Caenorhabditis elegans: one gene and its partners. The protein of the gene in region 1 interacts with the protein of each later gene in a pairwise test. Each region holds a gene or a part of one and is shown on either strand. Other genes may lie near its edges. The genes, in order: goa-1, lin-36, F53A10.2 and madf-11.

Region 1 (6,657 bases):
ATTTCAAGTTAAGGTTTTATTTCTGCGTAATCCACTATTTTTATCTTTTCTTGATTTTCCCTTTCATACTTTCACTCATTGTTTATTATTCGTGTCCCCTCGTCTCCGTTCTTCGACTGGAAAATCTGTAAGAGGGTCCAGCTGTGGTCTCCGGTGTACGGCACTCAACATGTCTCCTTGTGTATCGCTGCCAGTGCTGTCTATGCATTTATTATGAAAATAAAACAATTAGGCACATGGAAAAAGGCTTTATGTTCCTATAGCTTTTGGTTCACGGAGACCTAGTCTACGGCGCTGTTCGTCGATTGAAACTTAAATTTTAAATAGTAGTTTTCGGCATCATAAAGTCGCTATTAAGGCTGTCAGACAATTTAAGTTTTTATGCAATATTTTAAGATTTTAACTCAAACGCCGCCTGTGATCAGATAACTCCGACTACTAGAATATCTGCATGGTTCTGATCCTCATCATGATTTAAAATTCGAATCGACACGCAACGCAAGTAGCCGCCGACCCTCGTCTTCACTGTCGCTGCCCCCTGAACGATGGGGCTCTCCTGTTTCGGCTACTGGCTGCCCCTGGCTACTACTACCCCTTTTCTGCTATGCCCATGACCTTCTTCTTCTCCTCGCCCTCGCTTTTCTCTCTATTTTCCTTCTCCAACCCCACCATCCTGCTCGCCGTCGTCGTCGCAGTTGCTCCCCCATTTTTTTGCGCCACGCAAAAAAAAAAGAAAAAGAAGGACGACGACGACAACGAAGAAAGAGAAGAAGCAGAAGCAGTGAAAACGGAAAAATCGAAGACGTTGTCGTCTATTTTTTTGCTTCTGTTCTTTACAAATTATCTATTTTCTAACCTTTTTGTGGAGAACGTTGACCCGGCCGGAAGCATGTAGTAAAATTTCTTTTTGGTTGATTTTGCAAAACATGTTTATCCTCGATTAGCTGATTTTCATTTCGATTTCAGATTAAACCAATTGATTCTAAAATAGAAAACTGAATGAACAATCTCTGATCATTCTTGAAATATAACTAATTTAGTTCATCTGCAAGTTTAACAGTTAGTACATTTTTCTGTCGTAGATCAAGAAAAATTTCACCTTCGAATTTAGTACTCAAACATTGCAGGGATTCGAACATGCAAACGTTTTAACAATTTCCCCACTGACGCTGCTCCAAAGAAATCTGAGAGAACGTCTGATTTGAAAAAATGTTTGCGCAAAAATTAGAAAGGCCCTGTTTAGAGTATTGTAGGTTGCATATTTCTACCACTAAAATAAATTAATGAAAAAGTAAGAAAATTCAATAAAAATTAGTCGCCTTGACGACGTGCACCCTCTATTTTCCTCATTCGTCATTTTTGTCATCTCCTCTCATCTCATCTATATTCTGCCCTCGATCCCTCATCCATCCATTTCTTCATTCTCCATCTCACTGTGTCCCTTTTTTTCGCTCGATTGCTTTTTCTTTTCCTTATTTTTTAACCCGCTATAACTTACTTCGATTCTAATTTTTTCAATTTATTTTCAGCGCTGAGCTGCACCACATACAGTGAGTGAGTAGAGGATATCAAGTGGAGACCGCTACCGGGGCATAGGGTCCACCGTTCATCAACTCTAGCGCCATGGGTTGTACCATGTCACAGGAAGAGCGTGCCGCTCTTGAAAGATCACGAATGATTGAGAAAAATCTTAAAGAAGACGGCATGCAAGCGGCAAAAGATATCAAACTGCTGCTACTTGGTGCAGGAGAATCAGGAAAATCGACTATTGTAAAACAGATGAAGTGAGATTTTTTTAAATTTCTAAATAACAAATTAAAACATATATAAACGAAAATGGTAGAAATAAATGGTGAAAAACTCAGAATTTATCATCCGAAATTGTCCCATAGAACGTCCGAATATTTCGTTTGATCGATTTGAATTATTAAAAATTAAATTTAATTAAAAAGTAAATAAATCACTAGAGACTGCTATTAATTTTTTTTTCGTATTCAAAATTTGAAAAGTAAGTTCAACTCTCTAATAGTTTAAATTTGAAACACGCCTTTACAAATTTTCACATTTTAATGTTTTTTTTTCAGAATTATTCACGAATCGGGATTCACAGCAGAAGACTACAAACAGTACAAGCCGGTTGTCTACAGTAACACGGTTCAATCATTGGTCGCTATTTTGCGAGCCATGAGCAACTTAGGCGTTTCATTTGGTTCGGCTGACAGAGAGGTGAGTATTATGACAATTTTTCTGCAAAAAAATCGAAATTATTTAAAAATGAGGCACGAAATTTTCAAGTGATCCCTTAATGGAAAAAATTAATTTCGGTCCATTAGCTGCTAATGATTAGCACGACAAAAACGTTACTTCAAAATAAAACTTATTTTTCTGAAATTTACTTGCGATTGTGATCTATAGATAGAACATAAACATTATTCAATTAAAAATGTTTCCCGTGTTCTGAAGAGTAATTCGAAATATTTGGAAAATAACGAATAAAAAGATACGAAAAACGAAGAGCATGAGAATAAATGACATAATCTGTTGTATTCATTGGCTCGGTATCTTTTTCTCTCTCTCTCTCTTACATTCTGCAACTCTTATTGCCTCTCGTTGCACTCAATGCATCCCGCTACCACACCACCGTCCCATTCCAATTCCCTTGTGAGTTTCGATGCGCGACGCGCCACCGACAAACTCGTAGACTCGACCTAGTATTCCAAAAATATATGTTCGAGGCAGGAATTTTGAATTGGGATTTGGAAGGGATTCTAGAATGTTGGAAAATCTTTGGGAACACATTTTCGATTGATGTGGCAAATCATCAGAAAAAAATGTTCCCAACGTTTTGGAGAAGATTTTACATCATTCAGACGTCAAATGTTTTGTTATTGCGTCACAAATGCAATTCCCGGTTTTTATACGATGAATTTGTGTTCAATGCAAGAAGGTGTGCGCCTTTAAAGAGTACTGTAATGTTTAATTTTCGTTGCAGCCAAATTTTTAATCGATTTTTCATAGTTATTCAATAAAAACGTATTCATTTATTTTAAAAATTAATAAATAACAATCAAATATTTACGAATTAACTTTAACAAATCGTAAGAATAAATATAAACATATTTTAGCATTCAACAAAAATTTGTCGTGTCGAAAACGTAAAAAAGTTTTTGATGTGAAGATCGAACATTTATCATTCAATTTTATATATATCCTTAATCTTAACAAGACGTGACTATGCATGTCACCGAATATAAAGTAATTTGAGATAATTGAAATAAAATGACCATTTTGAGACCTTTGGACAAACCATTGGAAGAGAGCCAAGGATCCAATTTCAATTTTGTGAGAAAATTGGGAAAATGATGTACATGACATGCTGTGAATTATTCAATTTTCATCAGCGAATAAAGTTATCGAGAACTAAAATCAAAGTTTTTTGTTTCAGGTAGATGCAAAATTAGTGATGGATGTGGTGGCACGAATGGAGGACACAGAGCCATTCTCAGAAGAATTGCTCAGTTCAATGAAACGGTTGTGGGGAGACGCAGGTGTACAGGATTGTTTCTCAAGGAGTAACGAGTATCAATTGAATGATTCAGCCAAATAGTAAGTTTAATTCAAAATTTTGAAAAATTATTTCAAGTAACTATTATCTCCATAACAACCAAAGTGGTTTTTTTCATAAATTGAGAAGAGTTTCCTAAATTTCGAATCAATATGTTACATGTCAAGCTCATTTTCAATATTACCAAATTTAAAATTTCAAGAAATTTCGCAGTTTATAGAATTTATTAATAACCATTTTTTCAGTTTCCTTGACGACCTGGAAAGGTTAGGAGAGGCAATATATCAACCAACTGAGCAAGATATTCTCCGAACTCGTGTCAAAACAACTGGTATTGTTGAAGTTCACTTCACATTCAAAAATCTCAATTTCAAGTGAGTTTTCTTGATAAAAAAATAATATTTAATAATGAATATTTACAGATTGTTCGATGTGGGAGGTCAAAGATCAGAAAGGAAGAAGTGGATTCATTGTTTCGAAGATGTTACTGCTATTATTTTCTGTGTTGCCATGTCAGAGTATGATCAAGTGTTGCACGAAGATGAGACAACAGTGAGAAATTGATATTTTAATATTTTAGAAGCTTTTTTGTTGAAAAAGACAGACAAAATTTAAAATTAGAAAATATCGTTTAGAGACTTTATGTTTTTTAAACGATTTTCCAATCATGACTTGGTCGTTCGAGTCGACTTTTACAATAATAAAAATAATGTTCTTCTTCTAATTTTTCTAACGAAAATGCAACTTCTGACCGACAATATATTTGCCAAAATAAAAGAAACATGATAATTTAAAAATTACTCGTTTTTTTAAATTATATTCTATTATTCATTCTATTATTCATTATTCATTATTATTCATTATTGTTCCTTATTTCATATTTTCAGAACCGAATGCACGAATCGCTGAAGCTGTTCGATTCGATCTGTAATAACAAATGGTTCACAGATACATCGATTATTCTGTTCCTGAACAAGAAGGATCTGTTTGAAGAGAAAATCAAGAAAAGCCCGTTAACGATCTGCTTCCCAGAATATTCAGGTAAAATTTAATTGAATTTCCAATAAATGTTTTAATTTCTTAATCCCTGTAGGACGACAAGACTACCACGAGGCATCTGCGTATATTCAAGCACAATTTGAGGCTAAAAACAAATCAGCGAATAAGGTAAGAAAAAAAAGTCTAAAAATCAATGAAATCAGAGAAGCCTATGGGGTTCCTGTTCCACGAAAAGTATAAATTGTTTTTCTAGAATAATATTTTTTATAATTTTTAATATCTAGTTAATTTTGGAAATTTTTTGAAGTGTGAAACATTTATAAAATTTAATTTTTTTTAAGTAAACACGAATATTCAATTGTTTTGTTAATCTGTCACAGAAAATGATAACCAGAAAAATCTCTGAATCGTATTCAATTAAGTAATTACAACCAAAATTTGAGATTTTTACTATCTCGACATTTTCTCCGATATTGCGGTTACTGTAGTTTCATATTTGAATAGGTAGTTAAAGTTGAGTGTTGAGGTAATAATTTTAATTCATTATTTCATTTAATTTGTTTTCTTTTGAAATAATATTCTTATTTGCAGGAAATCTATTGCCACATGACATGTGCCACAGACACAACTAACATTCAATTTGTGTTTGACGCTGTCACCGATGTGATTATTGCCAATAATCTTCGTGGATGCGGCTTGTATTAAGCTGTCGTCTTCGCCGCCCTCTTCTACCATTCTGTGTGTATCTTTGCTTACTTTTCCCAAATTTTTAAAGATTCGTTATTTTTCTCATCCCCCGAGTATGCATCTATAATTTGAGAGCTTTACATGTACATTATGGTTGCAACTGTTTTTATTTTTTGGAAAAAGTTGCAATTTCAGATGTATATGGGCTTTTTTTTAACCTCTGATTCATTCATAATAGTCTCACCGCCCTTCTTTTTCTCAACTAGGATCCCTAATTTTTCTGTCACAAAAATAACACATAAAACTCACAATTATTTATTTTTTCCTTTTTTCTTATTTATTATATATTGTCATTATTCACGCCACATCCCCCGCCCTTCTCACTCCCGTGTAGCCTTATCGCTATTTGAAAACAAGAAAACTTTAAAAATCTAAATTCAGTTGGAATTCGTCCCGTTCCGCCACACACCCCCTAAAGGTCTCTTCACCCCGAATTATAAAGCTTTGCCCCTTTTTTCTTTCTTTTCTCCCATTTTTCAACACACCTAGTCACTGTTAACAGTTAAATAATGGCAGCTTTTGTCTATGTTTAAAGATTTTATTTTTAATTTTTGGTATTTTTCTATTTCTACTCTTCCCCTCTCATCCATTTTCCCTCCTTTTCCTAAAACCACACTTCCAAACTCATTTTTCTCGCTGTTTTCCTCTCCCTATTTTTTCTTTTACTTTTTCATTTTTCCATCTTTTTTCTTTAAAATCGTCTCGCTTTTTGTCGGTGAGCACGATGGTGTGCAGTAGACGATATTTTCCGCATTGGTTTATTGTCGACTGCACCCACTCATTGATATCTTATTTGATATAAACGACATCCTCAACTAGTTTTCGTACAAATTCAGTTTGGTGGATACAAAAGTACAGTGATTTAGTTTGCATGGGAAATTGCATATGGGACTACCGTACATATGTCTAGATAAAAAACCAATATTTTTAAAACTCGATAAAATTTAAATTTCCCTGAACTCCTTTTTGAATAACCACCAAGAAGTTTAAACCTCGCGCGCGAATTTAAAATTTAATTGTTATTTTGAATTATTAGCATGGTTTAAAACAATTTCCCCATCATTACCAAGATTTAAAAAAATCAAAACCTATTGTTATAACATCAAAAGTGGGAAACCCCAAAAATAGTCTTCAGATAATGATTTTCTCAAGATAAATGACCCGGAAGTGAGTGTTACTAAAGCGAAAAACCTTCCAAATGTCAAGTTTCATTAAATTTTACAACAATCATCTAAAAATGTGTCCTTTTTGTCACACAATTGTGTTCATTTTCCATCAGCTTTTCCCTCCTCCTCCCACTATGTGATAAACTTTCACTTTTTCTGTTCATTTGCCAAAAAAAAGAG
Region 2 (6,656 bases), on another chromosome or scaffold:
GTGCAGCTAAAATTAAAGCTGGAATATCCTGAGCAGGAGCTGCATCTGGAACTGTTGAAAGCACCATTGGAGTTATCTGTGGGGCTAATGGAGCAGCTGGAGGAGTTGGTGGTGGAGCACTGATTGTGACTTCAGGTGGTCCATTTGATACAGAAATAGTTTCAACTGATTTTAGAATTGGTTTATCAAATGCATCACTCAATACAGGTGCAGCTTCAATGATAGTTGCTGGAGTTGTTGGAGATGTTGGAACTGATGATTGAGCTGTATCTTCACGAATCCAAACTATATCATCTTCATCGTCAGCCATCTAAAAATAGAAATTGTACTGAGTTTTGATGCTTCATAAAGTAGAAAAAGTATGCGAGATTGGTTTTATTCAAAAAAAACTCTTGTAGTAGTAGTGATATGGATGGCATGTTGGTTGTTTTGTTGGCAATAGAGAAATTGGCAGAACGACGGAAGAGGGTTTAGAGGCCATTTTTACACTGTTTTGAGCCCGCCTGAGTGAGCATTAAACACTGAATAGTGTGTAAGATGAAGATACGCAGAGTTGCACACGGACTTGATCAGTGAAATCGGGGGAGGAGAAGGAAGGGATCCGAGAGATTTTAGACTTGAGAAGTGAAGATAGGTTTTTGGAAAATTGACACCTGGAAATTTAAGATTCATGCATGAACATTTACGCGAGCTACAATTTATTGTAACTTGATTAAACCATGAAACAATTTTTTTACAAATGCTTCCCTAGAGAGGCCGGATATTAAAAGTACAGATGGCAGAAAACTTTCATTTGTGTGAGTACGGTAGTCTGATTGTTTGTTATTGAGTTTAAGAATTTTTCACTATTTGTTTTTTAATGTGTTTCTTGTCTTTGGGGGTTTAAGTCGACTCCCAATAAGAAGTTATACCGTAATCGCTTTTATGAAGAGATGTCTAATGACTTGTCATCTTTGAAATCTTTTGCTCGTGCTAAGTATTGTATTCAGACGAATAATACATTATAATTTTCGAAAAATGTAATCACTTCACAAGCCAGGGCAAGAATTGCGCTTCTGTATGAGCTGTCACCAGATTATGATTTTTAATTGTGTACGGAAGAAAAATTGAGAGCATCTTAAGAGGAAGATGCATCTTCTGAAATAATTTTTCTAAATAAAAATCAGAATTATTTTTCAGCATTCCACCCAGATTACGTGTCTGTTATAATCGTTTCTGGAAGACATTCTATTAGATACCGTACCCCGAAAACTAGAAATCCTATTTCTAGTTTTCGGGGTACGGTATCTAATAGAATATGAGTACCTGAGTAAACATCACTTACTATACGCATATGTTTGCTCAAGCTTCTACTATACCTGAACCTAGAGAAAACTGTCTTCCGTTCGATTTAATTTGGCAACGAAATGTTCCAAGCTTATGATGTTCCCGTTGTAATTAATTAATTCCCCTGCTTTAAATCACTTATTGTTAACGAATATGTACTTCTCAAACTCCTGGTGTTATCTCCGTGGTATTTTGGATAAATTGGTGTCAATCATTTATACAAATGACCTGTCTCCATATTGATATCATCAATTCAACGTCCCTCCAGTTCCAAGTCGCTTGTTCGGCGAGAGAGCGTAGCAAACGGAGAGACGTCATAGAAAAAGTACGCAACCGCGCGTGGCGGTGTTTGCGTACATCAGATGAGTGGGAGCCAGAATTGTACAAAAATTGGCCGGACAATTATCGATTTTTACACTTTCGACTCATTTTTCACTTATTATCAATGTTTTTCGTTATTATTTGTATCTCTTGAGCGTTTTAAACAATTAAATTCACTGTATTTTCTGTTTTTGTGCTCAAAATGTGTAGAATTTGCAAAAGAAAGGCTTTTCCAAAAATATTTGATTGCAGGAAATGTCGGAAGAATTGCTGAGTACTAGACCCAGTAAAAGGGATTATAATGATATTGAAGAACCAGAAGACTCACACGTGACGGTGCACTCAGTTGAACAGGTATGGTGATAATTGAGAAACATTCTCGCCGCTTATGAATATCAATGCATTTTTAGGATTCACAGCATTCTGGTGAAGAATCCTCAACTGTAGACGCATTGCAGGAAACTGAGGGTGATGTTGACGTAATAGGAGAAGATGAGGACGAACACGATGTACGTTTACATTTTCATTCTCGTATTAATGCATGTGCCCATTGGCCGGAATAGAATACATCATTTTATTTTCAGATTCCCGTAATGCCAACTGTCACATCAAGTGGTGAAGTTCTTGATGAAAGCCAAGTCACTCCAACTAAACAAGCTTCGTCGTCACAACCAAGAGAAGAAATTATCCACGGCAAAGGCGAAAGTGTCTACTCCAGTTTTCCGTGCCAAGTTATTCCGGAGACTTTAAGCCGAATGACACGAACTCCGCCAGATGGAGAGCATTTAGAAGTGTACCGGATGTCAAATGGGAGACTGAGAATATATGTTGTTGATCATTTCAAGAAGTTTTCTCCATACTCCAATTTGACTCATAAGCCATGTACAGTTTGTAATCGAGTAATGAAATCGGGAGAGATGCATCTAAACTTCCCAGCAGACTTGGATAGGCGCAGAATTTGGGCAAATTTGCTTGGATTCAAATACAAAGATATTCTTCGCAGTAAAATGGGTCCTGTATCGTTTTCAATTGCTGCCGGTCCAATTTGTACTGAGCACTTCGCCGAGGAGTGCTTCAGGAATCACAATTTCAACAAATCTGCCATCGAAGCTTTTGGAGTTCCTGTTGCTATTTCACCAGACGTTAAGACGACACCGAGTAAAAAAAGGTAAGAAGAAAAGCTGGTTCTGCTCGAAACGAAAAAGCTTGTGAATGAATATGTTAGCTCGATTTTTGGCTAAAACATCCTCTTTCACGATTTTATAAAAGTTCCAGAGTGCCATGGGTCTGTACCGTATGTGAGTTCCACTCGTGCAGTGTTGTCGAGCTTCAGACACATCTTCTCAATCACACGGAGGAAATGCTCAAGAAAAAAGATAATGTTTTGGATGTAAGTTCAAGCTTTTTAGTTAATACTCTTATTTTATCACATAATTCTTATAACAAAAATTAATATTTTTCACAGGTCCCAGAAGCTGGCTTCATGTGCCCATTCTGTAGAAAATGCACATATGGTTACAAGACAATATCTGGATATCGTCGTCACTTGAATGCTGGCCCCATTCATCATTGTCATCTTCGTAGAATATATGAATTCGCTAAAATGAACTGCCGCGCTACTGAGTTGGATCCAGCGGAAAGCTGGGATAACTGGACTCGTCGCAACGTTTATGTGGCATATCACGGCTGTGAACCACCAGCAAATGAAATCGTACTCACACCTTCACCAACGAAAAAAGCCTACGTGCAAAATCCAGAAGAGCGTACGAAAATGGTTCACGATGAAGAGAAGAGAAAGAAGGCAGTGAGGACATTATCGTTTGTTGGAAAAGAAGGTGGTACAAGTGTGAATGATCTGAACGTAATGCAGCGACAAGTGTTTCTGCAATTGAGAAGAGAAGCAGAGATTAATACAAAAGCAGAAGAATCGGCTCAAGGAACGAAGGAGCAAGAGAGCAGTCAGAAAAAACATGCAGAAGAAGAGTCAGACGATGTTTCTGAACTGTAAGTTTTGTCAAAAAATGTTCGAGTTAGAGAACATCCTGCGTAACGAAATTTAAAAAATCTTACTAAATGGAAATCAAAGAAGCAATTAAATTTTTTAGAACTTCCCATCAGTCTCCACAAGCTCCAATGGGATCTGGTGAACGACGTAAAGCAACACGTCTCGCAACTTCCGCTACAAATTCACCAATCAAGAAGGTGGCAAAACACGAAGTTCCTGCTACAGCTCCATCAACTCCAGCTAAGAAACGGAAAATTTCACACGAAGAAGAACACGATCCAACTCCTGAAAGTGTAGAGAGAGAACCAACAGTTTCACCAAATGATCCACGTGAACGTCTTCGTTTGAAGGAACGAGATGAACAATTTGCCAAAATGGTTCAGAAAAGATCTCAGCAAGTTAAGCGATTGATCAATGCCAAACAATTCAAGAAACAAGAAGCAGCAACGAAGAAGCCGAGAAAGGCCTTGGCTTATAATTTGGCCAAAGGGATCGCTGCTACTTCTTCGGTGAGTTTTATTTACTGAATTTATTAAATAATAGATTAGAACTTAATTTGTAACTTTTGAAATTCCTCTTTTACTTTGTAGCATGTTGAAATTCGAATTACTAGGATAATGTTTTTTATTCAGACGGAGCCAGAAGACAAAGTGACATCTTCGGAGCAGACACCAGAACCGACAACAAGTCAAAAATTTATCGCCAGAAATACACGATCGAAAACTAAGGAGAGTGCTGTTCAAAAAGTTGAAAAACCAGCAACTCCTGTCGCAAAACCGGCACCAGTAGAAAAAGAGCCGGAAGAACGCCCTCTAAAATCAATGCTCGCGAGATCTTTTGTTGCTGGAGTTCGTCCTTCGATGGCTAAATATCAGATTCCATTAGAATCGTTCACAGCTACTGCATCACTTGGTGGAGGACGTTCATTATCTTCTGGAGTCATATCAAGACCACCAACTTCATCCTCTCCTGGCGGGATCTTTTCTCAAAGAGTTATGGGAGCTGTTGCACAAGAAAAAGGGCCTGCTAAGAGACCGGTAAGTTTAATATATTAGAATTATTTATTAGGAGACTTTGATATTTTTTCTAATTTATTGCTTCAGAGTGTGCTCTCCCGAAGACCACTGATCCTTTCACCACGAAAAAAAACATCAACTCCACGACCAACACTCTCCCATCACGAGTCATCGCCAAACTTCTCAGCATCTTCTCCGGTGGTTGTTTCTGATGAGTATCTGATTCCAGCAACGGATATGGAAGTTGAAATGGTCGAAGAAGTCATTGATTCTATGGGAAACTCATCGTCTGAAGATGTTGCCACTTCTTCAACATCTTCCGAGAGGCAACCGATGCTTACGCTGGCAGAGGCTCTTGAGATGGATGGTTCAAGTGGAACAGTTAAAGATCAAGATATGGAAGAAATCTCAAAAGAAATGATGAAAGATGCTCATTACTACAGAGCAATGGAAGACGCTATCAAATGTCGCACCGTGACGAAAATGCGCGCTGACATGAGACTTTCCCGTCATTGCATCCGGCAAATTGAAGCTGCGAGAGCCAGGTGAGCCCATGGGAGGTCTACTTTGATAAATCGTTTAATTTTTTGCAGAGCTCGTCTGTTTGGCGAAAGGACTGAAGATTATCAAATTTTCTACTCTAACGATGGAGCACAAGTGGTATGTTTTTATTAGTTTCAATTCTGAATTTTAGTAACAATTTTCGTTTTTTAAAAGATTTTATTTATGTTGTTCTCAATTTGAAACCATTTGCTTTGAAAAAATTCCGATTGAAACATCAAAAATCACTGATCACAACACAATTTATTTTAAAAACATGTTTTCTCCGCTATTTGGCGTTATCAATCAGTTTGTTTCATTCTTATGATTTTCAGCTCACCAAAAAAGATCCAAAATGGCGTGAACTTCAACAACAACAACAACAACAACAACAGCAGCAAGAACAATTTCCAGGACAAGGATCATCGGATTCTCAACAATAATTATTTTTAATTATCAAAGAAAGTGCCTCAAAATTCAAGATTCAAAAGTCAATTGTCCTTTCGAGGATCGCCCCACATTTCTTTCATGTGAACTATCTCTGTTTTATATCCACAGAAGTTATCCCATTTTACTTTCATTCGAAATTCTTGAAATCTGATAAAAACTCCGACTAGGATAGATTTTCGTCTAGATTTTTAGGATTTTCACATTTACTTTTTTCCCATTTTTTACCCCCCCTCCCCCCTATAATTTACTTTCCAAAATTAATAGTTTGTTTTACTTTCCATAAGCCCCCGCCCCCTCCCCAAAAACCACACTTTTTCTATCATAAATTAATCTGAATTATTCACAAAAAATGAGCCAAAGTCTATTTAAACGTTTCCCTAGTTTTCAATTACATTCAAGTTTGAAAGATATGTGCGTTTGTGTGCCAAATATGACTAAAAGTCAATAAATAAATGATTTTGCTTGGTAGGTTTTTGAAAAGAGTTTTCAGATTATTTTTTCTATAGGCTACCTGATTATCCATAACATTATATTTTGAAAAAACCATGAAAAATTTAAAAAAATCCTAAAATTTAGAATGGCATCACCAGAAGCATCGTCTTCTGGAAATACAGAAGATCTTCGTATCGAAGATTTATTCCATCAAAAACGAAATGAAGATACGATTGCTAAAATATTTTCGATTATTTATGCTCCAGTTGGTGAGATTTTTTTCAAATTTTTTGACACATTCCAAAAAGTAAAAGTTTTAAAAAATCAAAATTTCAGGTTTAATTATTCTTTTAATTCGTGTTTTCCTCGGTTTCCACACATTTATTGTTGCATGTCTACTCAGAAAATCTGCTGCTTTGAGAATGCACACTCTTCGAATTATGTGCTCAATTCTCGGAATTGTCGTTGAAAAATCTGGTCACAGGTTTGTGATTTTTTTTTTGAAAAATATTTGATATCTCCAAAAAAATAGAAACAAGTTACTGAAAAATTGGAAGCTTGCCGTA
Region 3 (7,752 bases), on another chromosome or scaffold:
AGCCGCGAAATCTCATCGTTGGCGCGTTCCAGCTCCTCGGAGAGCACACTTTGGCTGAAAGTATTGAAATTATGAGATTCAGTGAAAAACCAGCTTTCGAAATAGTACCCACAAGCCTATGTTTTTAGGACATGATATTTTAGGCCGTTACAGGCCCTCGTAGGCCATTTCAGGCCGCGGATAGGCTTTCGATTTAAGTTTCCAAACTGTGTTAGTGTGCGGAATATTTACTCTTGCTGCAAAATAATAAATCGATTCGAAACCGTTTCAGGCTATTTTAGGCCGTTTCAGGCCGAGCGCAAGCCTGAAAATCTCAATTGTTCGAAATATAGGCTTGTGGGTACTTTTTCGAAAGCTCTCGGTCTTCCGAATTCAAATTGTTCAATTGAAACATTACTAACCGATCCTTTAACTTTTTAATATCAGTTTTGCAGCTAACATTCTGACGTAACAAGTCGTGCTTCTCATTCTGAAGTCGTGTAACATCTACACAAAGGGTCTCGAGACGCTTTGCATCTGAGGACTGATGATTTGCTGCCACGTGGAAGTCATCTACACAAAATGTGCACGATGAAGCCCGAGTTTGACCTGACATTTCTGTGGAGGACATGGATTCCTGGAAATGGAAATTTGTGCTGAAAATTCAAAAAAAAAATTGAAAATCTTACCATTCCAGTATCCGAATCATGCTCGTTATCCGGAGACTCTTGAGATGAAATTTCCCATTCTTTTCTGAAATTTGAATGTGAAAAAAAAATAATTTGGCCAGAAAAATTTTTGGGAAATTTTCTTTGAAAATTTGAATTTCCCGCCAAAACATTCTGTAAATTGTAATCTCCCGCCAACACTTTTTTTTAGAAAATTTGAATTTCCCGCCAAAAAAAAAACCCGCAAACCCCTTACCTATATGGCTTGACAACCTCCTCATCCCTAATCGGTGAGTGTGTCCGGGCACTGGTCGACGAACTCGTCGAGGATATCGATTTTTTAGGCCGTGACGTCACATTAATCGTGGCGGCGCGGTGTGGTACGTGACTAGCCTCCTGAGAAACCGACCGGCTTCTCCCGATAAACGCCTTCTTCACAGATGACAAAATCCCGCCGCCATATGAGTTGGATGACGATGACGTGGTGGCAGCACTTTCGCCACCTGATGACGTGGATTCTAGTAGTGGTGTGGCATAGAACTCGGCACGCTCGCGTAGAGTTGCGTGGAGCCCGTCGAGCAACGAGCTTCTGGTACGCTCGGCAAGTTTGGCGAACTTTGAGCTCTTGTAAGCAGCGTTCTCGGCATTGATTAGCTTGGTGAGCAGGAAATTTCTGAAATCTTGGCCTCGCTTGAAAATCGATGGGGTTGGCAGGGTTGGGCCGAAAAATGGGACGTCATCACGGGCGGCCACGGAGACTCGGTACCTGACACGGTCGGTCAGGGCGTCGATTGGTTGGACCTATAACATTGAAATTTGCGTTTGCCACGTTGAGAGCTTTTAAAAATGTACCCACAAGCCTATGTTTGAAAATAATACGTTTTCGGCCTATTTCAGGGCCTAAATTGGCTTGAAATGGCCTGAGTTGAGATGCTCTTGAATTTGAAATTGGTGAACTTGAAATCAATTTTATTTTAAAAAACAACGGTTTTCAAAAATGAGGGCGACTTGAAACGGCCTGAAACGGCCTGAAACGGCCTGAAACAGCCCAAACGGCCAAGAATAACCATTTCTCCAAAAACTAGGCTTGTAGGTACTTATTTTGAAGCTAATAAGCTGTCAATTTCGAATTTGTTACTAAAAACCTTGGAAAATCAACTTCTAGCCGAAATTTCACGTTTTTCCCCAAAATTTCATCAATCTCTGAAAACGCACCACAACATAGGCGTGCAAAAAGTTTGATGCAATCATATCAGGAGCAAATGGAGTATTAGCCTCCTGAAAGATGATTGCCACAATATCATTTCCAATATGCCGTTTTCTTTGAAGCTGCTGGGCGTCTCCAATAGTATACGGTAGCATTGTTGACACGTGGAACATGATCTCACGATTTTTGAATTCACTGAATACGGACTGATGGCCCGTTTGGTTGTGGGCCGTGTCAAGGCCTCCGCGGTATTTCTGAAATTTAGAAAAATTATAGATTTTTTCGTCATGTCCATTTTGTGGGTGGGGCCTAAGTGACAGCAAAATATGCTTTTTTTTTTGACAAAAAATTTATAAAAAATGTTCTGGAAAAAAGAGCCATTTTGTGGGCGGAGCCTTATTCGACTCCCTTTTTGTAAATTTCAAATTAAATAGTTTACTCGTTATTAGCAAAATTTTGATTAAAAAAATATGAAAAATTTTTGAAAATTTTAGCTTGAAATTATGTTTTCAAATTATTCGTAAAAAATAACAAAATCTAGGCCATTTTGTGGGCGGGGTTTATCAAACCACGCCTATTTTTGTATGGTGCTGAGCTTATAAAAAGTAATTTTCCTTCCCGTTTTCAGTCGAAAATTGAACGTTTTGCTGAAAATACAAAAAAAAAAACTTTTGTGGGCATGGTCTCCTAAGCTCCGCCCCTTTTCTTACTTTTCACGAATGGAAAAGTTAGACAACTTGATGAGAAACTGTGGTTTTGTGACCCAATTTTTTGGGATAAATAATTGTCATTGTGTGGGCGGAGTCGGTGAAGCCCCGCCCATTTGTGGGCGGAGTCTGTAACCACAAAACATATTCTTCAAAAAATTTTAATTTTGAGGAAGAATTTTTTTTCGAAACTTCTTTGTCGATTTTTTTTTTGAATTTTTGGAGTTTTAGAAACCAATGCCATTTTGTGGGCGGAGATTAAATTTCTAGAGATCAAACTTGCCGCTCAATTTGCCTACCTGAAAGCCATTCAACTGCACAGAATCGCCAATCATCGACAAAAACTCGTCAAAAGCCGGGCTCCCGTGTGGATTTCCGAAAAGTTGCTCCTCAGTCGTCTGTCCGCCTTTTTGATAGATAACTCCAAATTTATAGGTATTCGTGAGCACATGCTCATCATACTGTACAATAAGCTCAGAACCACCGGGGAATGCCACCGGAGAGAACTGCTCAGTGGTGATCTCCTCGCAGAGCAGCTTAGCCATCCGGGAAGCCGATGGGCGGTCGGCTAGTGCGGTAGCTGACACAATTTCATGGATGGTACCTTTACGGGTACGGAGAATGATACGGAAATGGTCACAGGAGGAGATGACTTCTGTGCGGACGCTAAGGACCAGTGGGCCTACGATTGGGTCGTTGGCGAAGAAGTCGTGGTGCTCCTGAAAAATTTTACGTCGAAGTTATGGCAATTTTGATTGAAAATTTGAATTTGTCGTAAAAAATGGTTTTCAACATGTACCCACAAGACTATGTTTTGAAAACTACTCATTTTAGGCATTTTTAGGCCGTTTCAGGCCGATCTAGGCTGTTACTAGGCCTGAAATTTTGTATTGTCTTTTTATATGTGATCAGATGATAGATACCAGCATATTTGATTTTTGAATCCATTTTCAACAAATCTAATTAAACAAGGCCGTTTCAGGCCGTTTTAGGTCGCTTCAGGCCTCAGTTAGACTGAAAATCTATTTCTTTAGAATATAGGCTTGTGGGTATGTTTCTGAAAGCTCTCGGTTTCAACAATGCGAATATTGACAAAAATAATACGTTACTACTAGGCCCTGTGCAAAATTGTCACAAAATTGGAAATAAAATTTGGTCGATTTTTGAAAACCTAGCACTTCTAGGCTCAAAACTCAAATGCAACAAATATAAGTCAAAAATTCAAAATTACTATGTTATAGGCTTTTATTCAAGTACCCACAAGCCTATGTTTCTAGAAATAGTTATTTCAAGCCCTTACAGGCCGATTTAAGCCGTGCACAAACCTGGAAAACGATATTGCTAAAAACAAGGCTAGTGGGCTGCTTTACTGTCGTTTTTTGTAACATTAACCGTGCGAATCAAAAAAAGGCCGATTCAGGCCGTTTCAGGCCGCCTACAAGCCAAAACTTTTTTTTTGGAATATAGGCTTGTGGGTACTTTTCTGAAAGCTCTCCATGCGTAGAATTCAAAAAACCTACTCTTCCAAAGAAATGTCGGCGATAACAATGACTAGTCTCGTCGGTTTCCAGCTTGAATCTGGCACAACTGTTCACATTCATATTATTGACTTGATCATCCATATGGTGCTGTTGATTGACTCCATCCATCCAAAATCCATTTGATGGTAGCACTATTTGTGGATATGGGCCCACTTTTGTTAGGACCTGGAAAAATGGAAGTTTTGGAAATTTTTTGAGAATTTTAGAGAATTTTTTGAATGGAATACTACAAGTTTTTGCCAATTTCTAACACAAAAAATACCAAAAAATTCCTTGAAAACTCGTTTTTTTTCTCGTTTTTTTCTCACGAAAAGCAAACATTTCCATGAGTACTACTAGGTACTATTTACTTTTTCGTAGTGTGAGAATTTGTGCAAATACTAGAGAGCAAAAGTGACCACATATGTACCTCATTCATAATATTCCTGGTCAATTGATTGTGTACGGCGGATCCGTTGGTTTTTTGATGAGTTTGCTCATTTTGGTGACCGGAAGTTGGGTTGTGAGTCTGGAAAAATGAAGGTTAAGGGGATTTTCGAGGTTTTCTAAGTGGTTTTGTGGGATTTGAAGTCATTTTTCTCAATTTTCAGTATTTTTTTCAAAATCAGTATGCTTGGTTACCCGTATTCCCAAATTTTCAGCCTTCTAGCTCAAATTTTGGCGAATTGGCTGAGTAGCGACCCAGTTAATCACGGAGTTTTGTCAGGTTTAATGGAAAATTGCTGAGAACTTTGGAGCTGCTGTAAAACTTTGCGTAGATTACAAAAATCGGTGCAAAGTATAAGAATTTTAAGTTGTAACAATATTGGATCCTGAACTTTTTGTACTATATGTATACTAGGAGCAAAAATCATTTTTTAAATTGAAATGAATTTTTTAAATAAATTTTCTGAATTCAGCACAAAAAAACTGACACCATACATGAATTTGGATTCTAGCTCAATTTTTGGAGAATTAACTGAGTAGCGGCTCAGTGTGATACGGAGTTTGCTCAATTTCAGAGTTTTCAGGCTGAAAATTTTAGGATAAGTGTGACAAAATTCGCTGATTATGGTGAGAGACAGAAAAATTTCAGTTTTTGGTGAATTGACTGAGTAGCGACTCAGTTTAGTTTTCTCAATTTCAGAGTTTTTCGGCAGAAAATTATATTGCTCAACCTATCTCTATAAAAATTGACAAAAATCAGTACAAAAATGCAGCACAAATTTAAGTCTAAGCCTAGGCCTAGGCCAAAGCCTAAGCCTAAACATAATCCTAAGCCTAAACCTAAGCCTAAGCGCATAAGCCTATGCATAAGCCTAAACCTAAGCCTAAGCCTAAGCCTAAGCAGAAGCTAAAATAGCTTAAACTTCAAATTGGCTGAATAGCGACTCAGTTTCAGCCCCCCAAAACCGATCCCTCCTTACAAATCCAGAAATCTCATGCAACGAGACCGTCGACGAAATAAGCGTGGGCGGTCCAACAACTCCCAAATTTTTGAATTTCGCGGGCCTCCCCACGGCCGCCTTCTTGGCCATCAGGCCCTGAATCAACTCCAGCGGACCCTTCGAGTGCCGTCTATTCGACTTGATAATCCCTGGCAGAGACTCCGTAGAAGTCGTCCTCCATCGTATCGCCTGTGATGACGTGGCATGCTTCATGTTCTCCATAGCCATCAGAAGCTTATCAGCAGCCATCACCTTGAACTCATCCTCCTTGTTAAGCTCAATACAAGAAGCCCGGCGGGATTTTAGGCTTGAAAAATCGGAGCATTTATCATTTTCCGACGCCGTGGAGGAGTCTGAAGAGGTGCTGCCAGTGGATCTCAGATTGTATTGTGACGTGGCATGCCGCAACGGAGCCAGCCTCCGAATCACGGGCGGTAGATGACGTGGCAACTCGTCTAGATCATCCTCGGACTCGGATGAGTCTATAAAGTGGAGCATTCGTCTAGTTGAAGCTAGACGTCTTGGGCTACAACTGATAGGAGATTGAGCTTGAAATATCGAGAAATAATCGGGAGACGGAAGCATTTTTTCCAGGGGAAAAATGGATAGAAATGGTCAAAAAATGGGGAGAATGATGGGGGAGATGGTTTTGAACAAATAATAGGAAATGGATGCGCCCTAAATGTGTATGTATGTATATGTTTGTATATATATTTGTATGTTTTGAGAGGTGTGGAAGAGTGAATGAAAAATGATGAAACGAACACATGAATGCACTTTAGGCAAAGAGAAAAAGTTCGGAGAAGTGGCGGGAATATTGGCTGAGTAGCAACTTAAGTCCAGGAGTAGGTGTTGGCTAAGGCTGAGGCGTAGGCTTAGGCCTAGGCTAAGATTCAGGCTCAAGTTTAGGTCTAGGCTTAGACATAGGCATAGGATTAGGCTTAGGTTTAGGTTTAGATTTGAGATTGGGCATAGTCGCTGAAATATTGGCTGAGTAGCGACTCAAAAAGTTTGACTCAGGCATAGGCTTTAATTTAAGCTTAAACACAGTTTAGGCTCAAGATAAGTCTTATGCTTAGGCTTATACTTAGGCTTAGGCTTAGGATGATGCTCAGGCTTCGGATTCGGCTTAGGATTAGGCTCAGGTTTGGGCTTTGCCTTAGGCTTCGGCTTAGGCGTAGGGTTGAGATTGGGCTTAGGCTTAGACTTAGGCTTGAGCTTAGGCTTAGACTTAGGCTCATGCTACGGCTTCTGCTTAGGCTTAGGCTTAAGACTTAGACTTAGGCTTGAATTTTAGCTCCATTTTTATACGGAGTTCTGCCAATTTTTATGAGGATAGGTTGAAAATTTTGTTGTAGCTTTATAAAGTGGCGAGATACTTTTTTAAAAATATTAAGATGTGATCTACAAAAAATGCGGGAATTTCCTGTGGAGGAAAATGTGACGTCAGCACGCTCTCAACCATACAAAATCTGTTGAGAAGTCTGCTCCACATTAAATTCCCGCATTTTTGGTAGATCACACCGAAATGGGACACTTTGACACCACATGTGAAAAAAAAGTTTCATGGCAATTAAGAAAACTCCGCATCACAGTGTTTATCGAGTCGCTACTCAGCGAAAGTTAGAGAAAGTTAAAGTAGAACCCCTAAAACTCATGCTGAATTTGAATTTCACATTGAAAATTGCTAAAAATTCCAGTTCATTTATACGACCGTAAACTAATTAAAAACTTGGGCGAATAGGTAAAATTTGGTTCTAAATCTGATTTTCACATTTTAAATTTAGAAAATACAGCTCCAAAAGCCCCTAAAATCAATAAAAACTCCAAACTCACAAGGGAAGTCTTTGAGGGGGTCCGTAGATTTGGGGTTCTCATGCTAAAATTCCTACAGAAGAGTGTTAGTTATGATCTCTCCAAAAAATTTAGCTGCCCCGGTCAAGTTTCAGCAAAGTTATGACGTTTTGAAATTTCAGTTAAAAACACCATTGAAATCCACTGTCTAGCCATGCAGTCCACGCAAATCTCAGCTTGCGTGACCACCGAAAATGTGACACCCACCACATTGAGTTGAAAAATGTCCTCGGTGGCCGAGTTGGGAGTGCGCGCGTCTGATAAGATTTAAGCTTTGGTTCGATTCCTTCTATTTTTGAAATATTTTTGTAAGTTGAATAAAGTTGTAAAACAACTCATTCAAACATTTTTGCGCATTTTTAAAGTGAT
Region 4 (5,428 bases), on another chromosome or scaffold:
ATTCCTCCTCATCAGAATCATAACTGTTTCGGAAGATATCTGAAGAGAAAATGAGCTTTAAAAAATCAAATTTTCATGGAAAATACCTCTTTTGGTTCGATTCGACTCAAATCTGGATATCAGAGATCGCTGTGGTGGAAGATCTGGTGGGCGTGTAGGGTCGGCCATAATTTTAATTCTGAAGACGGGTGATTGTTTTGTTTAATAAAAAACTTTTTAAAAACTAACGCTTCCTCCTCTTCGTCGAATCCAACAACGTCCACATCCTCATCAGAGTCTGTAAGCACTATTGGCTTAGATACAACAGGATTCGGATTTTTTGGAGAATTTTGTGCCTTTTCGAGTGTTACTTGTTGGTTATTAACAACTAACGGGGACTTCGACTTGTCTGTATTCTGAGAACGAATGACGTAGACTTCTGAAAACAATATTTTTATTTAACAGAGGACCATTTGCAAACAAACTTCTTCGTGGCAAATTTGGATCCGTAGCTTTTTTAACTGGCTTTGGTGGAGGTGGGAGACAGGAATCTCCGAATGAAGCCCATCCAATATGAGCTTTAGGTTCATAATTACTAGAAGATGCCGGTGGTGAATCAGTTTCGTCGTCGTCGTCGACTATCAGAAGATCATCGACGCTCAACGTTTTCTGGGATGTGGAAGGTTCATCATCTTTAGCAGTTTGCGGTTTTGGATCAACTTTTGGAAACTTGACCGCTGCTCGTTCTTCTTCATTCATAAAAGCAAATGACATTGGGGATATTGGTGGAAAAGCTGCGGGTGCAGGCTCTGTCGTCATGGAATTGTCTAGATTGGCAACAATGGGTTCAGAAGACATCCTGGAAACAAAAAATATGGAGATAAAATTTTTAAATTTAAATTTAAACTGTTTTTATTTACCAGAAAACTAGAAAATCCCAATGAGAAAGAAGGGAAATTAATAGAAAAATAAAGTTTTAAAAATACCTAAATTTTCTACAGTACCCGAGGTCTCGCGAAGATTTTGGTCCGCAGTACGCAAACACTCTTATGCTTGTTTACCGTAACCACTGAAATATTTTTTCGTTGTTTTTCTTTATTTAAAAAAAGTTATCTATTTTTCGAAATTTATTGAAAATTTCACATTTCAAAACCGTCAATAATTCTTTTAAAATTCATTTTTCGCAATATGGATTTTCTTCAAATGTTAAACCAGAGTTTTCTTGTAATTCCTTGAACAAATCACATTTTTAAATCACATAACCATTTTCGTTTCTGGAAATCTTCACTTTGAAGTTGAATTCTTGTTAGATTATATTTGTTTAACTCTGAAAAATAGTTAAAATGTGTGTTTTTATATGTTTTGTTTCAGATTTCCCCTGCTTTGTTTTCCTTTCCTAGACTAAGTTTTTAAATTTCGATCAATCCTTTTTCTTCATTTTACCCTCTCAAAACCATTTATTTACTCACTTGAGAGACGCAGAGAAACCATCGATGGCCTAGATGTCTCGTCTCGCCTCCTTCTCGGCCACGCGCGCCTATCTATCGATGTTTTTCTGCCTGTTCGCTCCGTTTTCTTTTTCGAATCTTGACCGCTTCGCATGCCTGTTCCGTTGCGGTTTCTGAAGCGTTTCGGTTGCGTCGCGGTTCCCGGCTCCGCCCTACTACCCGTTCGAGTCTCCCACGGTCTGTAGCACGTCTATCACCTATGTGAATGAGTGTGTACGATCATCTTCTTGCCAATCGGGTTATTGGGTTCAATGGATCGTAGATTGATATGAAACTCGAATTCGGGAAGGAATCGCCACGCAACGCAGCTAGAAATGCTTGAGAAACTTGCGAGAATTTGAGAAGAAAATAAATTTCAGAATTATTATTAAAAATTTCCAATGAGCGACCGACGGCGGCACGGAACAGAGGATTATCAAATCGCCGGTCTCAAGCATTCAATGACAAGTAAATCGATATTCATAGATTCAGAATTTCCAATAATTTTTCCAGGTGTCGCCTCAAGCTCCCACGGTGGTGCTGGAGACCTCCAACAACAATTTTCCAGGGAAGATCCACCCGTAAAAACTACGCAATACACACTTGTAAGCTGGAAAACGTTTAAAATTCAAAATTTTCAAATTTTCAGCTTCAACTAATCAATATGGTTCGAGAAAATCCGATTCTCTACGATGAGGAGATGCAAGCCGCCACGCCGGATGCTCAGTTGAAGGTTCAGAAACGAGAAGCATGGGATCGGATACGTGCTGATATAGTTTGGCAGGACATCACTCTTGTTCAGGAAGTCTGGTCGGATCTTCTCGATCAATATGCTAGAAAATCGATTGATATGTCCGATGGACTAATTGAGGCAATGCGATGGACAGATTCATTGATTTTTAAGAAGAAATGTAAGAGTTTCTTGCAAAGAAATACACCAAAATCATTTATATTTTCAGCAGACTCTCGACCTCCTTCACAGCTCACCGCAATGTCCTCCGGACTGGATAAGGATTTCTATAATGACGTTCCGCTGGCAGAAGATGTATTAGAACCCGGACAAAGTCTCGGAAATTCTGAATCCATGAAGTTCGATTATGTGGTTATTCAGCCTCATGTTAGGCCACATCAACAAATTCCCACATCTTCATATTCCCGTCGAAAATCACCACAATCAAGAGAAACAGAGGCAATTGTTCGAACTTATCCATTATCGCCGAAGCGGATAGTGGTAAGTGCAAAAACGATGAAGTAATTACTACTCAGACCCTAATTTTTCCGATTTTTGCTGACTATGAGATAACCGGTCTCGTCACAACAATTTTTGTTAAATACGACAAGATGCGCGCCTTTAAGGAATACTGTAATTCCAAACTTTTGTTGCTACGGAATTTTCATCGATTTTCATAGCTTTTCAACAAAAATTTGAAATTACAGTACTCTTTAAAGACGCACACTTTATTGTATTTAACAAAAATTAGTCATGTCGAGACCTGGTACCGTATGTTTGGCGCAAAAATCGCAAATTTCACGTCTGGGTAATAGCAAAGGCAAGCATTCAAAAACCCCTTACCGGCCTCGCTTGCGGTGATGCACGGGTGGCCTACTGGCTAACACTCTCGTCTGCAAAGCAACAGTCCACAAGTTCGACCCCGCTTCATGGTGCATTACACTTTGTAACTTGCATTGTGTGCGCGACTAATGAAGCAATACCAATATCTGCAGTATCTGCTCATTCGCCGTGTTGTAGTTGATGAGCTCGTAGTCCGATAACAATTTTTTGATTTTTTTTCATTCCAGCAACAGCATCGTATGCCACAGAAGAATAATCCAGACCAACAACATCAAATGAATGAAGTCAAAAAGGAAGTTAATCCGTTTGGACGACAAGGTGTATTGGTGGAGGTGGAACCATCACCCTCCTATGCTCAATCGAATACGAAAATTTACAAAATGGTCTCCGCGCATAGAAGTGCAACGCCGCAACCTGCAGTTACAGTGGCTTCATCTAGAAGATTGGTACATATGGTAGGAAAAAATAATTTATTTAAATAAGAATTAAATTTTCAGCCTCACCGAACAAACTCCCTGGTTTATGATTCGATGCCAGAACTTATAGATTCGTGAGTTTTTTTTTTACTTCTTAAACTTCACTTAATAAAACATTTCAGTTCAAATATGCCATCGGAACCACCAAAAAAGAAAATACACTTGGAAGTGGGTCATCGAAATAGTGAAATGGTCGGTGTATCAACCTCATCAAATGCCCCGTGTCTACCCAAAGAAATTCTAACCGATGGAGTCCCAATTGCCGACGATGAGATTATTTTAGAAGCTGATGGAGAGTGTAAAATAGGTTCTGGAATGCTTCTGGAATCTCAACAATCAAGTTCACAAAATCATGAAATGGATATGCCATCAACTTCAATGGATCATTATCATCATCAAGATATTGGTAATTTTTCGCTGGAAAAATATGAATATTGAATGAATTTTCAGATGATGGGGGTGTTGGAGATGATATTGAGCAGCAAGTGGTGGTTGGAGGACCTTCTGATGAAATGGCGATACAATATGATGAAGATCTCGCATTTCAACAACATATCAATAGTGTCTTGAACAGGTTATCTGATGATGAGGTAATTTTTGGTTTTTAACAAAATTTACGCGGAAGAGTTTTAAAAATTCGATTTTTCATTAATAAATTGGAGTTTTATACAAAAATTCGAATTTGGATATAAAAAATTTTTTATAGGAAGAAATGTCATTTGCTTACAAAATTTAAATTTTGAGAAAAAACATTGAAAATTGTGGACAAAAATCGAATTTCTCAGAAAAAAGTGAAATTTTCCAAAAAGAAAAAAATACAAGCAAACTTGAAATAATCCTGGATTCAAGTCTTGAGTTACACAGGAAAAATTGTTTTAAAAAATGAGCTAAAACAAAAAAAATCAAATTATGTTCAATATTTGTAATAAATCAGCCTAAAAATCATTGAAGTTCCCATTGAAAAATCACCAGGCAAACTTCAACATCAATATTTAACTTTCGAAATATTAAAAAAATCTATTTTCAGAAATCCGTGATGAAATTCAACATGCAAAAAATTATACTCGACGCAAGATTTGGCTTAGGCACAGCCCGAAATATGCTTAAACACGATGAGATGCTGGAGGTAGAGTCACACGTGGAAATTGATCCGAATCACGAAGTTCCTGAAGAGATTTAGACATTAATTTGACGTACAATGCTTCTGTAATATTTAATTTGTTTTTTTCTTTTTTTCTGAAAAAAATCCATCCTTCTCCCGAAATCAATCATATCAGTGAACATAACGTATTCTTTTTTCTCTTTTCTCCTTTTCTCTCAAAAATATTTATTTTATTTTTTTCGAATATTGTCATTTGTCATAATTTTCAGATGAAATCAATAACATTTTTAATTTTAACAGGAATTGAAACCTTTTTAAATATGGATTTGTCGTCCTTGTGAATATTTATTTTCTTCTAATTTGAATTTTTCAGAATTAATATATAGATTTTTTTTGAATCTGCCTCAAAATAATGGCTTTTAAACCTAAAACCCAACAAAAAATCATTTTTAAATTAAAAACGGGCTGGCAGTGAATCTTTTTTCAATAAAAACTAAATTTAACAGAATGAAAGAAACCTAATTATCAGGAAAATTTTGGAATTTATGAGAGCAAGTTTGAAAAAGGATGAAACAAATTTGCCAATAAGTTTTGCATGTTATAAATATTATTAATTTTGCAGTGGGTCAATGCCACAATCGGAGAATTCAAAAGATGCCGAAAAAGAGAAGGTGATGCGTTCACGACGTGGTACTGTCGATACAGAGATCAGCGGAGCACTCACAGTTCTTCAGAGCTCATTGGACGTTGACGATGCTCCGTATCGAGCCCGTCTCTATCAGCTCTTTGGGCACATTGAAAAGGAGTTTGA

Evidence for each region.
Region 2: the proteins of goa-1 (region 1) and lin-36 interact in binary tests that used the Caenorhabditis elegans proteins (3 or more experiments, as listed by UniProt).
Region 3: the proteins of goa-1 (region 1) and F53A10.2 interact in a two-hybrid assay, tested with the Caenorhabditis elegans proteins (2 studies listed by BioGRID).
Region 4: the proteins of goa-1 (region 1) and madf-11 interact in a two-hybrid assay, tested with the Caenorhabditis elegans proteins (one study listed by BioGRID).

The regions. Positions count from the first base shown.
Region 1 is NC_003279.8:7,520,587-7,527,243, forward strand, and holds goa-1 (Guanine nucleotide-binding protein G(o) subunit alpha), read left to right. Parts: upstream 1-1,529; 5' UTR 1,530-1,623; coding exon 1,624-1,784; intron 1,785-2,084; coding exon 2,085-2,226; intron 2,227-3,445; coding exon 3,446-3,606; intron 3,607-3,810; coding exon 3,811-3,939; intron 3,940-3,987; coding exon 3,988-4,117; intron 4,118-4,452; coding exon 4,453-4,606; intron 4,607-4,658; coding exon 4,659-4,732; intron 4,733-5,155; coding exon 5,156-5,269; 3' UTR 5,270-6,126; downstream 6,127-6,657. UniProt on the Caenorhabditis elegans protein: Guanine nucleotide-binding proteins (G proteins) are involved as modulators or transducers in various transmembrane signaling systems. In the 1-cell embryo, probably together with gpa-16, controls nuclear rotation and spindle elongation during mitosis.
Region 2 is NC_003281.10:8,016,117-8,022,772, reverse strand, and holds lin-36 (Protein lin-36), read left to right. Parts: upstream 1-1,899; 5' UTR 1,900-1,902; coding exon 1,903-2,001; intron 2,002-2,057; coding exon 2,058-2,156; intron 2,157-2,231; coding exon 2,232-2,815; intron 2,816-2,916; coding exon 2,917-3,037; intron 3,038-3,112; coding exon 3,113-3,651; intron 3,652-3,752; coding exon 3,753-4,161; intron 4,162-4,284; coding exon 4,285-4,689; intron 4,690-4,755; coding exon 4,756-5,213; intron 5,214-5,261; coding exon 5,262-5,328; intron 5,329-5,543; coding exon 5,544-5,651; 3' UTR 5,652-6,125; downstream 6,126-6,656. Other genes in the region: F44B9.2 (uncharacterized protein), read right to left, coding at 1-310; F44B9.5 (Lipid droplet-regulating VLDL assembly factor AUP1 homolog), read left to right, coding at 6,236-6,359, 6,427-6,574. UniProt on the Caenorhabditis elegans protein: Required to negatively regulate vulval development. Antagonizes Ras-mediated vulval induction. Acts cell autonomously.
Region 3 is NC_003280.10:1,222,626-1,230,377, reverse strand, and holds the start of F53A10.2 (Rap-GAP domain-containing protein), read right to left. Parts: upstream 6,028-7,752; coding exon 5,509-6,027; intron 4,611-5,508; coding exon 4,512-4,610; intron 4,268-4,511; coding exon 4,082-4,267; intron 3,281-4,081; coding exon 2,861-3,280; intron 2,109-2,860; coding exon 1,863-2,108; intron 1,449-1,862; coding exon 904-1,448; intron 733-903; coding exon 669-732; intron 617-668; coding exon 402-616; intron 55-401; coding exon 1-54.
Region 4 is NC_003281.10:5,599,870-5,605,297, reverse strand, and holds madf-11 (MADF domain-containing protein), read left to right. Parts: upstream 1-1,846; 5' UTR 1,847-1,867; coding exon 1,868-1,934; intron 1,935-1,979; coding exon 1,980-2,071; intron 2,072-2,115; coding exon 2,116-2,377; intron 2,378-2,425; coding exon 2,426-2,697; intron 2,698-2,823; exon of another isoform or gene 2,824-3,099; intron 3,100-3,118; exon of another isoform or gene 3,119-3,244; intron 3,245-3,266; coding exon 3,267-3,494; intron 3,495-3,536; coding exon 3,537-3,589; intron 3,590-3,637; coding exon 3,638-3,921; intron 3,922-3,965; coding exon 3,966-4,105; intron 4,106-4,542; coding exon 4,543-4,695; 3' UTR 4,696-4,911; downstream 4,912-5,428. Other genes in the region: xnd-1 (X chromosome NonDisjunction factor), read right to left, coding at 1-39, 87-178, 229-418, 465-837; wdr-37 (WD repeat-containing protein 37), read left to right, coding at 5,247-5,428.